Linked DNA regions of Pelodiscus sinensis. The main gene of each other region encodes a partner of the protein of the gene in region 2 in a complex. Links are inferred from orthologs where the notes say so. Each region holds a gene or a part of one and is shown on either strand. Other genes may lie near its edges.

Region 1 (7,137 bases), on a different chromosome or scaffold from region 2:
GATATGGATTTCGCCTCTCCCTCCTCTTCCTCTTCAGGCAAAGTGCTGTTCTTGGCTAACTTCTTCAGCATGCTCTCCTGCTCATGAACTATCATTTCCCGGAGCTCCAATCTGGTCTCCTTGCTCCCGTTGCTGTGGTCGTTGGAGAACACTACCAGCAAGGGCAGTTGTGTCGTGTCGGGCGACACACTGATGTCCAGTTTCCCATAAACGGAGTCCCCCTGGGTTTTCCGCTCCACCACAACCTCAAGCTTGTTTTTGGTCTTGGGTTTGTCTGCCCTGACCCATCTTTTCACAGCACCGGACACCTCAAACATTTCCCATCCGCATTCCTGGATCTCTCGGGAGACAAGGAAGGCTTTGGCGCCTTCTGGGCTTTGCCAGAGATGTCTATCGGTAACATCATAAATGACTAACTTGCCTTCCAGCCTTGAGAGAGGCCCGACGTCCCTACTGCAGGCAATGTGGAGTCGCAGCTCAGCTCTGGTGATGACTTCGTGCCGGGGGATAGAGACGTTGAAGAGCAAGAGGTGTTTCTGAAATGGATTTTCTTCTGGGGAAGCCATAGAGACAACATCTGCAAGAGGAAATTAAGAGAGGCGGTCACCCTGCCTCCTAGGATAGAGGCTAATCCAATGAAGACGAACGCACTTCGCCGGTGGCATGCTATGTTTCAGAAGAAATGCCCACCCGTTACTAGTAGCTGCTGGGAGTGACGTTACACCATGGCCACCAGTATTAAATAAATGAACTGGCTTCACTCCAGAGTGAAACCCAGAGGGAGGTCCCTATGGGTAGCAAATCCACCAGGGATCAAGTTGTGATCCACAGTAACCTCACCTTCAGACTCCCTGTGTGTGTGTGTGTGTGTGTGTGTGTGTGTGTGTACATGAGTGTGATGTGTCCACACACAAGGTGCCAGCACAGCTCCAAAAGTGGGTGGTGTTGGCTCATGAGGGGCGTGTGCAAATGCAGTGGCTTCCCATAAAGGCTCTGCCATGTGGCCTCTGCAGAGGAATTACAGCTGTAAACCTCCCTGGGGGTTGGTAGTACAAATCCCACGACCATGATCGTGAGCTGGGGCAAATTCCCCTTCCCCTGGAGGGGGAGGCTCAGGCATAGGGATATGGAACCTACATCTCTAGTTTATAGCTATCGTAGCTGAGTTTCCCCACAAAACATCTTGCACTAGGGAGGAACCAAAGTGGACGATCAAACCCTTTGCAAGTCTGATGGAGAAGCTCCTGGCTCCGGCTGGCTTGGGAGCTTGGTATTCGGAAATGGAGCCTTTCCTCTCCCAATCCCTGCTTCTGTTCCCGGGCAGGGCTGGCTAGTCAGAGACGTAATTCCAGCCAAAGGCCATGGGAGCTGGAGGTGCGAGGCATGTCTGTAAGGGGTTTTGGTAAGTTACCCCCAGCTGATGGCTGTGAGATGGGTGGGTGGGTGTCATCTCACAAGCATCCACCCTGCCAAAAGCATCTTCCCCAATCTCCCTGGCCAATCAGAGCAGAGGAGGGGCCAGGGAGCCTGCACCCTAGCTCACACCGAGAAGGGGGTGTGCTTGTGCGGGAATGTGGAGACGGCTGCCACGCTGTCGTCTGTGCTGGGTCTAGATACATGGACATTTGAATTTGTCTTGGCTGGTTCTTTCGGCCAGCACCAAATTCACTTAAAACACCCCCGCCCCTTTTATTGATTCTAACGAGAGGGCTTTTAAAAGGATTGAGTCGTGTGCTGTCTTAGATGGCTGAAACTCTGCTGAAAAAGGTGCTGGGCCGCAAGGAATTTTTTACATTCGTAAGTGACGCAGGAAGCCCAGAGGTGCTAGGGCCAGCCTAGAGACTGCTACTGAGTGGAGAGGTTTAGGGCCTTTGCCTGGGCAAGGCCTGGCACAAATTAAGCCCTGGATGGTCGGGTATGTTCCTGAGGTGCTGAGCGGGGCTCTGAACCAAACCCCCCAGCCCCACTCACTCCCGATCTCTGAATGCAAAGGCTGGTGTTCCTAGCAGCAATCGGGAGTCCCATTTCCCGTTCGACTCCTGTCTTTACAAAGGGCTGGAGCAATGCCCAAGGGCCAAACATCCTCCAGAGTTGGGGGTGTTGGAAAACCTACCCCCAAATTTTGCAGCTCAGCCCCAAATCTCAGCCCCAAAACAAAGGCAAGGCAGCCAAGTTGTGGTGACTCTGTTTGGAGAGTTGGAATATTTCGTTTGCTTCTTGGAGAAGCAAGAGGGCACAATGTGGACTCAGAGAAAAGGATTTAGGACCTGGAAGAGTATAAGAGAAGAGCAGCGGAAAGGATAACAAAAGAGACTATGCCGGGGATTTTCCAAAGAAGCCCAAGGGAGTTAGGTGCCTGAGTCCCTTTGATTTGCAATGGGATTTGACACGGACTCTCTAGCTTCTTGTCCAACCCCGGTCTATAGGTGTAAGACATTTCATACCTTCTGCACTGAAGCTCCGCACGACGTTGGAGGCCGGGCTGGAAGACTTGTCCGTGGCATACTTGTTGTACAGATCGATCATGAACTGCGGGGGCTCCTCTCTAGACCTCTCTTGCAAAGGGACGCCGGATAAGTTCAAACTCCTCAGGAAATCGGCTTTCATGTTTTCCAGGAAGGCTTTCAAGTTGAAAGGGGTCTTGCCCTCCACCTCGCTGGGCTCACCGAAGGATTTCTCTGATAATTTACCCCAGGCTTCCAAGGGCTTGCCTCTTGCCACGCAAGCGATGATGTTGAAAACCAGCCAGGCCGCCGTCGCCCCCCACGAGCACATCTTTCACGGATGCGCCTCCGTCGGAAAGTGGGAAAAGGACCGGGTTCTTCCAGCTGACTAGATCGCGCCTCCCGTTCGAGGCAGAAGAACGGGAGACGGAAGGCGAGCCACTGGAGTGAGAGCCCTTTGCAAATCACTTTCTCGAGCTCGTTTGCAACCCCCCAGCCTCTTGTCAGTTGTCAGGCAGCTTGGTTGGACACTTGCCCTTATCTCAAGCCATGATGCCATGCTTCAGTTTCTGTTATCTTGCAAAGCTCTTCGTTAATGAAGATTCTGTAAACATCTGACAAACATGTGGCTGGACATTGTATGCTGCAAAGAATCCACATTTCTCTGCAGGGTCATCGTTGCTTAATTATGCTCTTTTATCGTTGGGGGCGGGGTTGGCCAACATTGACAGGGCTTCAGAGGAACTTTTTTAACGGGGCGGGGGGTGGGGTGGAGGAAAAGACTCTGGTTTTCCCTACTTCCCCCCTCCACCCCATGCCAAAAAAATAACAACAGGGAGTAAGAACAAACTACTCAATTCGCCAGGAGAAAATATCACCCCTCAAATCTATACCACGGTCCTTTACGCCTGTCCTCCGAAAATCAACCATCTGGTTGAACCCTGTGCTTTTAGCAAGCTGTGCTCTCATGACAATACGAACAGTCTTAAAATTGCTTTCCATTTATCGGCCAAGAGCTATTATTTGTACAGAGTGAGCTATCTGTCTTGTGTCAAGTTTGCCTCAACTTGTTAGCCGGCTTGTCCATTTTTAGTTTGCATCCTTTAGTGGAAGGGTAAAAAAAAAAATCTGGCTTTGTAGTATGTTATGTAATGTATTTTCTTAGAATCCTCTACATGAGGTCGCTGGTTTAACTAGCTCATTCCTCTGTCACTGCAAGAATGACTAATTGTTCTTGAAGATAAAGCCAGGTTTACTAAGCCGGAGTGAAACCTAAAGTCTCTATGAAGTCACTGAACATGAGCCAGGGAGATGTTTGATTTTTCATGGGAATATTGGCCAAGACAAAAATAAGAATTGTGGTAGAGTTTTGTGCATCTCCAGGAGGAAACTCTCCAGTTAAAACATTAAAAAGATGACTTGCAGCTGAATCTAATTGAGCCTAATCTGCTCTAATCCAAGTGTAGATGATAATGTTACCAATTCTGCCTGGCTGTGTCTACATTGGCACCCCTTTCCGGAAAAGGGATGCTAATGAGACACTTCGGAATTGCAAATCCGCGGGGGATTTAAATATCCCCCACGGCATTTGCATTTACATGGCTGCCACTTTTTTCCGGCTTGGGGTTATGCCGGAGAAAAGCGCCAGTCTAGACATGATTTTCCGGAAAATAAACCCTTTTCCAAGTAGGAATAAGAGATCTTCCGGAAAAGGGTTTATTTTCCGGAAAATCGCATCTAGACTGGCGCTTTTCTCCGTCATAATCCTGAGCCGGAAAAATCGGCAGCCATGTTCATGCAAATGCCGCAGGGGATATTTAAATCCCCCGCGGATTTGCAATTCCGAAGTGTCTCATTAGCATCCCTTTTCCGGAAAGGGGTGCCAATGTAGACACAGACGCTGTATTTTTAGAGAACCAATTGACACCTAGTATCTGGGTGCCATGTTGTCTGATTGATCTCAGTTCCTCAGCAAAATATCCCATTGCAAAGACCCAGGAAAGGTTTTGCCTCTAGACCTCATTGCTGGTTGCAATAGCTGGGATGACTTTATCCCCTCCTCTTTGTTTTTCAGCAATTGAACTAGAGGTGACTTATCCATTATCTTGTCCAGGACTGATTTCTTATTACCCCACCTATTGTTATCCAGCTCCTCTCTTGCCCATTTTAAATACCGGCACAATGTTAGCCCAGGTATTCTACCATGTAGGACACACCGGAAGTTTACCCGGCATTGCTGGGGTCCTTGACTCAATTTTTGGGTTTTGGAAAATACAATAAAAATATTCACGCTTCATTTGAATCATTGCTCTGGAGTCAGGCTGGGGAGGAGGGGCTCAGTTCACAGGGGAGAGGACTACCCCAGCACCCTCTCATGGCAGCCGCTTGGGGTCAAGTGAGAAGCGCCTCTGCAAGGCCACTGCAGCGCCAGTGGGCACAGCTGGGGGAGGCGTGCCTGTTCCCTGGCTGGCGCAGGTCCGGATTCATCTGCCCCCTGCCCTCTCCAGCCAGAGAGAGGAATGCAGCAAACACAGCACTCCCCTCACTCCCTGATGAAGGGGAACCGCCAGCAATGTTCCCCTACAAATGGGAGCAGGAGGGAGCTTCAGCCCCACCCCCCGCCTTCCCTAAAGGGTGCATGGGGGGTAGGAGCCTCGGAGCTGGAGCAGTCTAAGATGGGGGGGAAGGGTGCACGTGCAGCCAGCCTCTTTCACCTGCCTGGTAAGTCTGTCTCTTTTCTGCATGGTTTGATGAGACGCAATCCCATTCCACGCACTCCCCATTGTCCTGGCACAACCGAAACCTGACCTTGCTTTAAGCCACGACAAGAGGAAGCTGCTTCCCGAATGTGGTGGTCCTAGCTCTTCCCGCTGAGGAGTTCTTGGACAGACAGACAGACAGACAGACAAACTCTCTCAGATATATAGTAGATTAACATCAGTGAACCAGAGATCTCCTCAGCCAACTTCTTTTGTACACTCGGTGCAAGTTTTCAGGGCCTGCTGATAGACAATATCTACTGAGGGAAATATTTTTATAACAGTCTCCTCAGGAGCTAACAGGCTGGAAAGGATTTCCTCAGTTCATGGGGTCACCAGTGAGGGGATATATAGGATGCTCTCAGCCACCGATGGAGATAGGTTGAGCACATCCCCTTCAAAAGAAGACTGGAGTCAGGGTACGGCAGCAAGGCTGTCACTCCCCCAGCTAACGAGCAATCGCAGTCGTTTACGGCAAAGCCTAAAGGATTGAGCCAACTCGCACTGGTTCTGTAGGAGTCGGAGCTGAACCTAAGCGCTTCTTGCTCACAGCTCCACTGTGCTTTCTATTAGCAAAGTCTTGACTACTTTTGCCTAGGCCTCGGGTCTCTCGCCAGGCCTGTGATACATGGGCAAGTGTTTCAGGCCCACTTCCTACTCCAGAAGTAGGCAACACTTGATGGCTTCTGTCCACAGGAGTTTGCTCAGCCCTGGAACTGGCATCCCCTGCGGCCAAGTAGGGATGGAGCAAACTTCATGCGCCGCCACCCGCTTCTGACAGCAAAAACCACTTCATGGCTGCAGGAGAGGGGACCGGACCTTGAGCCCACCCAAGCCCGACTGCCCCAGGTGGGGTGGGGGCAAAGCCTGAGTCCCATCACTCAGGGCTGGGGAGAGCCAAAGCTAAAGCACCAAGGACGTAACAGGGGACCTGTAACCTGAGCCCCACCCAAGGCTGACGCGCTCAGATTTTGGCTTTGGCCTTGGGCAGGGGGACTCCAGCTTGAACCCCAGGCCCCAGCAAGTCTAAGCTGCCCCTGGCAACCCCATTCAAATTGGATCCATCTTGGGGTCCTGACCCCACAGTCTGAGACCCAATGGCCTGAAGTGATATTTTTTTCAGGTGCTCCAATTCCAGACTCTCTTTCACCATGTCATAGCTCAAAAGTCATCGGCTGAGGGTCAAGATTTTCAAGTGACACGTAATTTTTGGATGCCAAATTTGACCTGTCTTAGAGGGACGTGATTTTGAAACGGCGAATGCTCTACGCTGTCTGAAAAGCCCCACGGGTGTCTCCAATGGGGCAACCCAGCACAAAGGGCCTTAAAATCAGTACTCCGTTTGGAAAAATCTTAGGCTAGGCCTTTAAAACCTAAAAGCTTTGCCCATCTGGCTCTCCCGGCAAAACCTCCCAGTGGAAATGCAACTTGTAGCAGCAAGAGTTCCTTCGGCAGAATGATTTATGCCAGCTCTTTGAGCAAAGTATCCAACTGTGCCTAGACTAGGCCTTTGTCTGGCATCGCAATGTTGGGCCGGTGTTGTGATTTCTTGCGCTCGCAGATCTGAACACAAAAGTTAGCTCTGCAGGCGTAACTCTTAAATGGAGCCCAGGTCTTCTGCGTTTTAAGAGCACCCAGTGGCTATGTCTACACTGGCATGATTTTCCGGAACTGCTTAAAATGGAACAGTTTTCCGTTATAAGTATTTCCGGAAAAAGCGCGTCTACATTGGCAGGATGCTTTTCTGGAAAAGCACTTTTTCCGGAAAAGCGTCCGTGCCAATGTAGACGTGCTTTTCCGCAAAAAAGCCCCAATCGTCATTTTCGCGATCGGGGCTTTTTTGCAGAAAAGAAATCTGTGCTGTCTACACTGGCCCTTTTCCGGAACAGTTTTCTGGAAAAGGACTTTTGCCCGAACAGGAGCAGCATAGTTTT
Region 2 (7,221 bases):
ACCCAGGCAGTGGCACTGCATATTTAATGGGCACTCGGAACAAAGAACCACCACCAGCAGCAAGAACCTTGCGCCTGGTAGATTTCAGCTAGTACGATTCCTGGGAACACATTCCAAAACAAACCCAACCCGATCTCGCGCCCTTTGCCCCCCCGACCCTCTTTGCAGAACCGGACAGGGTCGCCTCCCGGTTTCCAGTAAGAAACCATCTAACCAACGCAGTGGGAAATCTCCCCCCACCCCCGTCTCTCCAAATTTAAAATAAAAATAGCCAAAGGACAAGAAAACTGCATTCACATCAGATGCACACAAGCAGCCTAGGGTACAACTGTAGCACACTTCCCCCCTTTAAAACTAGCAGCCTCCTGCGATCCTTTATTCACAACGCCTCCGCCACCCCCTAAAAATACACACCACACCAACCACCCTGTCTCTGTTCGGTATTGGATACAACGTAACAAGTTACTACACACAGACTTCCCCTATCAGAACACCAGATGTGACAAAATAAAGATCAGATTAGGATCTATTATGTTTGGGGGGGGGGGGGCGGAGGAGATAAAAACAAAAAAAGAAAATTGCCGTGTACTAGTGGGAAATCACTCCTTTCCCTTGCAAAATGAGCCCTGGAACCATGGTCCATGGAGGGAAATGCACTGATTTGGGGGGGGGGGGGGGGTCAAATAATTAAGTCTTTCTATTTTGTAACAAACCCATATTAATAACATTCATGTACGTGTCTGTAGGATCAAAAGATTGTGTTGCTGTGTGCGATTTGTAACCTAGATCATTGTTTTACCAATCCCCAAAGGGTGAGCTCTCCTCCTCTCCACTCCTCATCAAAACAAGGAGGGAAACCACACAACAAAGCAGCCCTACAACGCTAAGGCTCGCCTCCCAGAAATGGCTCTAGCTAAAAAAAACACCTCTTTCCCCCTTGACAAAGGGGACACTCCGGTTTTGTAATAGCTCAACAGACCTAGCAGAAAGGGAATATTTTCATAAGTACACACCACATATCCCTGAAACACTGAACTACCCCCTAAAAACCCACAGTTAGTGTCACATGCGCGCCCCACCACGCCCCTTTTGCCCCAAAAAGACAGCTCTTCAAGCTAAAGCAAATGTAAATCAAATGTATCTCAACGCTTTGGAAGATTCATTTTGTAGCATGGCCTTCTGATCCCCTTAGCACGTCCAATGTTTACATTAAGTTCCATCATGCCACACAATATCCCCATGAAAATGCAAACCCTGCAGATTTGTGAAGTTTTCAAAAGGATCACGAGGGAAGGTTTAAAAACAAAATACCCCCCCCCCCAAAAAAAAAGCCTCTCAAAAGATGGGTTCTTCCGCTTCTCTCTTACAACTTTCTATTATGTCACCGTGTCACAAATCAGCCTAAATGACACATCTCATAAAAATAGCAAAAAATCTATGGGATCATAACATTTCATTAAGGGGGTAAGGGAGGAGAGACACGCTTCGACCGACTATCAGCACCGTTTAACTCTGGCAAGCTATTTACAAACGGTCCCTTTCAAAGAATTAAAAGACACGATCAAGAAGAATCTTGTGGAAAAGGCGAGCAACGTTTCTTAAGGGCTAGTAAACTCACACGAAATTAACACATTCATGAAAAAGAGAAGGGGGAAAGAAATCAAGCAATTTACACAACGCAACCTTGCAAACCCGGGAGTAAAAAACATATGGCTCTCTCTACCTGAAAAACAAAACAGTTACTAACAACCAAAAGGTTTTCTTTTTTTTTTTTTTTTTTTTTTTTTTTTTACTACGTTCAACTCGATTCTGACACACACCATGCCATTTTACAAAGTTTCCTAGGAATCTGAGGCCAGGAACACTAATTCATTCACACTCTGCTTAATTAAAGGAACACTGCAGAAACATAATCCATTGATATCAAAACCAACAACGAAAACAGGAGGGTTTCTTCTAAAAAAAAAAAATCTTAGGAACAGCCTTTTCCCCCCACTATTCGTTGCAGTTAAGGGATATTTAAGGGGAAAGGGAGGTAGTTTCGAATAACTGCACACCATTTGATTCTTTTTTCGAATGTTAATACAAAACTGGTGAAGGGAAAGACAGAAATTTACTTACCTGCACCGAAAGTTCCACAAAGAAAGGCGAAAGTCAACCACGAAGCAATCATATTCCTTTACTTTTTCCCCCCCTTGTGTTTCCCCCTCTACCCCCAAGGGGGGAAAAAACCGATCGGGAGAGCGAAAGGGGCGGGGGGCGAGGTTGGAGGAAAATGAGAATCGCTCCCGAAAAACAAGCACAACAAAAATAAGGCTCCCACAAAAGCGAGTTGAGTTCCTTCACAGTTGCAACAACGTATCCAGTTCGAATGGGGCACCAAATGGCAGCGCCAGGACAGCTGTAGCCCGGTAGCCGTCCGGCTCCTGCTCCGAGCTTTCCAAGAGTTTGCTCGGCCGGGGCTTTTGTGCAAGGGAGACAAGCGTGCAACACACCAACTCTCTCTCCCCCACCCCCCACCCCAGCCCAGCCCCTTCTGCCTGCCCCAAGCAGCGGGGACGAGGGACAACAACACGCACGCACCCAAAAGACAGGGAGGAGGAGGAGGAGGAGGAGAAGGAGGAGGGGGAGATAAGCAACCCCCAGCAGCACGCGCGCGACCCCCGCAGCCGGGCGGCCACCACCAAATGCAAAGCGGGCGGCAGCCCCGAAACTTTGCAGCAATGTTACCAACCCAGCATCCAGGGAAGCTGCTGAGCAGCAGGAGGCACCAGCCCAGCGGCTGCCGAGGAGGAGGAGGAGGAGGAGGCGGTGGCTGCCCCGGCGGCTGAGCGGCGGCTGAGAGAGGAGGAGCGCAGGGAGCGGGCTCCGAGGCGGGCAGTGGCGCGCGGGGCTGGCTGGGGCGAGGGTCCGGCCCGAGGCATCGCTCGCGCGGGGAGCGGGCGGCGGCGGCCGGCGCGGGGCAGGGCGGCGGCAGAGGCTGGCTCTGGAGGGGCCATGTACAAAAAAAAAAAAAAAAAAAAAAAAAAAAAATCCTGAACCGAGTCCAAAATGGCTCCTGCGGGGGGAGAAGCCGAGCCGGAGCCGGCGGGGGACCCGGATGTTGGATACAAAGGCGGGCGGCGGGGCGGGGGCCGGAGGGGGCTGAGGCAGCCCGGCCGCTGAGTGGGGGGAGGCGCTGCCCGTCAAGGCGGGGGCGGGAAAGGAGGGCGAGCGCCGGGCAGCCCCCCCCCCCGGCCGGGGGCCCCCTTCCCTCCAGTGACAGGCCAGGACTTGCCCGCCCGCGCCCTGCCGGTGGCTCGGGGCCAGGCGCAGATGCCAGGGAGGAAGGGGCCGGAGGGGCTGGTGGGAGCTTGGAGGGGGTGAGCTGCCCCGGGTGGGGGGGATTTCGGGGACACCCCCACCCCCGGCGGAGGTTGGTGTCAGCCCCGACGCAGGAGGTTTTATGTCCCTCCCAAACTTTGGCGCCGGTGGGTGACCTCCCACCTGCTACTCCCGTGCCCCCTGTGACTCATCCTGGCCGCTTTCTGATTCCAGCCACGCTCCTGCTCCTCTCTTGTGGCGGTGAGTTTCAGAGGCTCTTGGCGCCAGCTCTCTGGACTGCACTGTCGCTTTAGCCTGCCCCGTCCCGCCAGGGATGTACAGGGGGGAAGGCAGCTAATGCTGCATCCCTGCTGGTAAGCCAGAGGTGGAAATGGGGAGCCACAAGAGTCAAAACTGGAGAGAGAGGACAGTCCAGCAACAGATGTGAGAGAGCAGGGACTGAGGGGGCGATCAGTCACCTTCTGCTCCAACATCTGAAAGCCAGAGAGTGCAAGAAAAATGTGTTCTCTCTCAGAAATCATAGAAGACGTTATCAGAAAGTCATGAAGAAAGAGTGTCCTTGGAAGAATGAAGAGAGCTGGCAAACATGCCCTCCTACTACAAAGCAACTGCCATTAAATCAGATATGGCCAGTAGTGACAAATGGGACCCAGCAGATCAAACAACGCGGGAAGTCTTCTTCTGAGAGAGATTTACGGGGGTGTTTCAGACCAGCTGCACTTTGTCAACACTTAAATAGCTTGTTATGCGATAAAGTCTTAGGGTGGGAGTTTCAAATGCTGTCAGCATTGGCCTAACTCTGCTTCCATTAAAGGCAGTGGTAAAACACCTATAGATACACTGACATTCAATCCCGATTTTTCCGGGACAGTCCTGACTTTAAATACTCTGTCCTGGTGTCCCCATCAAGTAGTGAAATGTCCCAGAAAGCCCTGCCAGACATTTCACTACCTGATGGGACAGCGGCTTGCAGGAAGAAGCAACCAAGAAATGACTCTGTGCCATTGCTCCTCACATGATACAGCAGCCTCCTTCTTCACCACCACCCTCCCCTTGGCAAAGCACATAGGCAGCACCATTGGATCTTTGCCAGCAGGCAGCCAGACCAGCTTTTGGAGGTATGCGGCACCTCTTCTCTCCACTGTCCCTGTGGGACCGCCTCTGCTGTGCAGAGAGGATAGGAAGGGGTAGCTACAGATGATCAGAGTAGGGCTAGAGGCGGAGTAGACACAGGGGGAAGAGATGGGCTGGTGCAGGGGTCAAGAAGGATGGGGAGGGGGACAGGTCCCCAAAGGGGTGACGGGAGTGAGAAGGTCAGGAGCCAGGACACCAGAAGAGAGTGAGGGATAGGGGGGCAGCAGCAAGCACCAGGGGAGCAGATGGGGTAAGGGGAGGAGACATGGCAGCAGAGGGACAAGAGAGAAGTTTATAAGATATTAATAAATATCATAAAATAAATAACAGTGGCACACATCTGAACAAGCGCACATGAACTCAATAGTGGTGCACAAGACAAAATTCACTCCACTCATGGGAGGAAAATCTTAGAGGGAACACTTCCTCCAGCCTCTCTCCCCAAGTTAATGCAATACAAGCTGGGTTAATGCACTTGCAGGCTACTTGCATGGGGGGTCCTGTGGGGGCCAAACCCATACCTATTGGTAGAACAGTGGGAGGACTTCTTAGAGAGATCACAAACATGAAGCTTTAAACAAAATCTAGAGGCTCCCTGGGAATACTTTTATAAGAGCTCGTGGCCAGGGACCATCTTTTTGTTTTATGTTTGTATGTCTAGCACAGTGGATCCTGATTCATAATTGGTACACTCTCCTAACTCATAAAAGGCTTCCTAAGAACAAATAAATTATTATGACTTTGATACCAGTAAAGAAAAATGCATGTGAGATGGAAAAATGCATGCAGTAGTTGTGATTTTCTATATGGCAAAGGCACTTTCAGAAAAATTACAGAGTAAGTTTGCACTAACAGGTGGTGCATGTGGAACAGCTAGTGAAAATGCAAGTCACCTATCAATAAAGTAGAGGGAGTAACATTACAGGTAGCAAGAAAAAGAGGGAAAAACCACATCCCACAGAGCAAAGACAAGACCTACAAAAATGTTTCAAGAGGACAGATACCACTGGTCACGTGTGGCAAAGGAGAACACAAGACAGAGAAGAAGGCATGTCACCACTACATAGACTATACTGGCATAGCTTTGTCAGCTTAGCCATGGGCATCTGTTCGCCTAGGCAGGGGAAGGCTTTGCATTCCCAAACTGACAGGCATGGCCCTACCTACACTGTGCCCCCTGCACATTCCTCCCTCCCCTGGTGCTCTGGGGCTGGGGAGGCTGGGGCAAGCACAAACCCACCTACTCACCTGCCTTCCCTGTGAGGGCAGGGAAGGAGCAGAGCCTCAGCAGAAGGGGCAGCGTTGGAGGTGAGGCCCTAACTTCATCAACCACCCATGAGCTTAGCAGTGCCCCATAATGTAGATGCAGAGTAAAACTATAGAAGGGCATTTTCTGCCAGTCTAGGACACTAATGCTCTGAACAATGTTGGCTACATTGACAAAAGCATTCTACTGTAACCTGTTCGTTCTATACAAAACACAGCCCCACAGCAGATGGCTTAAAACTTAGCTGTTTTCGTTCAGATCTCAAAGCACATGTAAAGCTATGCCTTAATTAAACTTTATGACCCACCTAGAAGTAAACAGAGGCCCAAACTGGGTGACTGATTTGTCCAACACCACAAGTGAGTTAGAATTGGAACCTAGAGATTGGAACACCTAATCCAGTCCTCTGTATATTTAAATTATATCTCCATTATTAAACCACAGTGGTTCCATTCTTCTCTGGCCAGCTATAGGTGATTACCAGCAGGCCTAATTCTTCACTGCTTTGCACTTTCATTCACAATTCTGCAAAGTAGGTGTAAAATGCTACAAATAGCCACAGACACTCAGTTTGCAAAAGTGCAAGAAACTGCAAAGCACAAATCAATGACAAATAAGGCCCCCTGGCTTGTCTGTGGAAGAGTATTTGTCACACAAACACCAAGATACAACTTCCTTCTATTATATTATTTCATATTTGGATATTTTTAGGGCTGTCAGGAGATTAAAAAATAATTGTGATTAATCACATGAGTAAAAAAATTAATTGTGATTAATCATGCAATTTATTGCATTGTTAAACTAATAGAAACCCATTTATTTAAATATTTTGGTTGTAGTCTACGTTTTCAAATATATTGGTACCTTCTTTGTGTTGTGTGAAATCTGTAGTGAAAGTGTTCTTAAAATGAACAACAGGTGTTGGGTCACTGTCTGAGACTTCTATAACATGGAATATGGTAGAATGTGGGTAAAATAGAACAGAGGACATACAGTTCTCCCGCCAAGGAGCTCAGTCACAAATTTAATTAACATGTTATTTTTTTAGAGAGCATCATCAGCATGGAAGCATGTCCTCTGGAATGGTGGACAATGCATGAAGGGAAATATGAATGTTTAGCATACCTTGCAAAAAGTGCCTGTGTACAAAAGTGTCTGTTTTTACTTTCTTGTGATGTAAATAAGTCGTAGCATTTTCTCCTGCAAATGTAAACTTTTTTTCTTAGAGATTGGCTGAACAAGAAGTAAGACTGAGTGGAACTTGTAAGTTCTGAAGCTTTACATTATTATGGTTTTGAGTGCAGTTATGTAAAAAAATATACATTTGTAAGAACACAGAGATTGCACTAACGTATTTGTCAATTGAAAAATACTATTTATTTTTATCATTTTACAGTGCAAATATTTGTAATAAAATATATATTTGGATTTCAGTTGCAACACATAATGCAATACATCTGAAAATGTAGAAGAAGAGCCAAAATATTTAATACATT

The links.
Region 1: the proteins of ACVR2B (region 2) and GDF2 are in contact, whole or in part, in a crystal structure (PDB 4FAO), measured with the Homo sapiens proteins. The link is inferred for Pelodiscus sinensis from reciprocal best matches to the Homo sapiens genes ACVR2B and GDF2. Residues at the interface, in NP_001097.2 of Homo sapiens: Asn35, Glu39, Cys49, Glu50, Glu52, Lys55, Leu57, Tyr60, Ser62, Arg64, Val73, Lys74, Cys77, Trp78, Leu79, Asp81, Phe82, Asn83, Glu94, Gln98, Val99, Phe101; in NP_057288.1 of Homo sapiens: Arg333, Ile346, Ala347, Pro348, Lys349, Glu350, Tyr351, Glu352, Lys397, Ser399, Pro400, Ile401, Ser402, Val403, Leu404, Lys406, Gly410, Val411, Pro412, Thr413, Leu414, Tyr416, His417.

What each region holds. Positions count from the first base shown.
Region 1 is NC_134718.1:5,221,888-5,229,024, forward strand, and holds the start of GDF2 (growth/differentiation factor 2), read right to left. Parts: upstream 3,008-7,137; 5' UTR 2,776-3,007; coding exon 2,445-2,775; intron 578-2,444; coding exon 1-577. UniProt on the Homo sapiens protein: Potent circulating inhibitor of angiogenesis. Signals through the type I activin receptor ACVRL1 but not other Alks. Signaling through SMAD1 in endothelial cells requires TGF-beta coreceptor endoglin/ENG.
Region 2 is NC_134712.1:245,474,641-245,481,861, reverse strand, and holds the start of ACVR2B (activin receptor type-2B), read right to left. Parts: upstream 3,019-7,221; 5' UTR 2,174-3,018; coding exon 2,122-2,173; intron 1-2,121. UniProt on the Homo sapiens protein: Transmembrane serine/threonine kinase activin type-2 receptor forming an activin receptor complex with activin type-1 serine/threonine kinase receptors (ACVR1, ACVR1B or ACVR1c).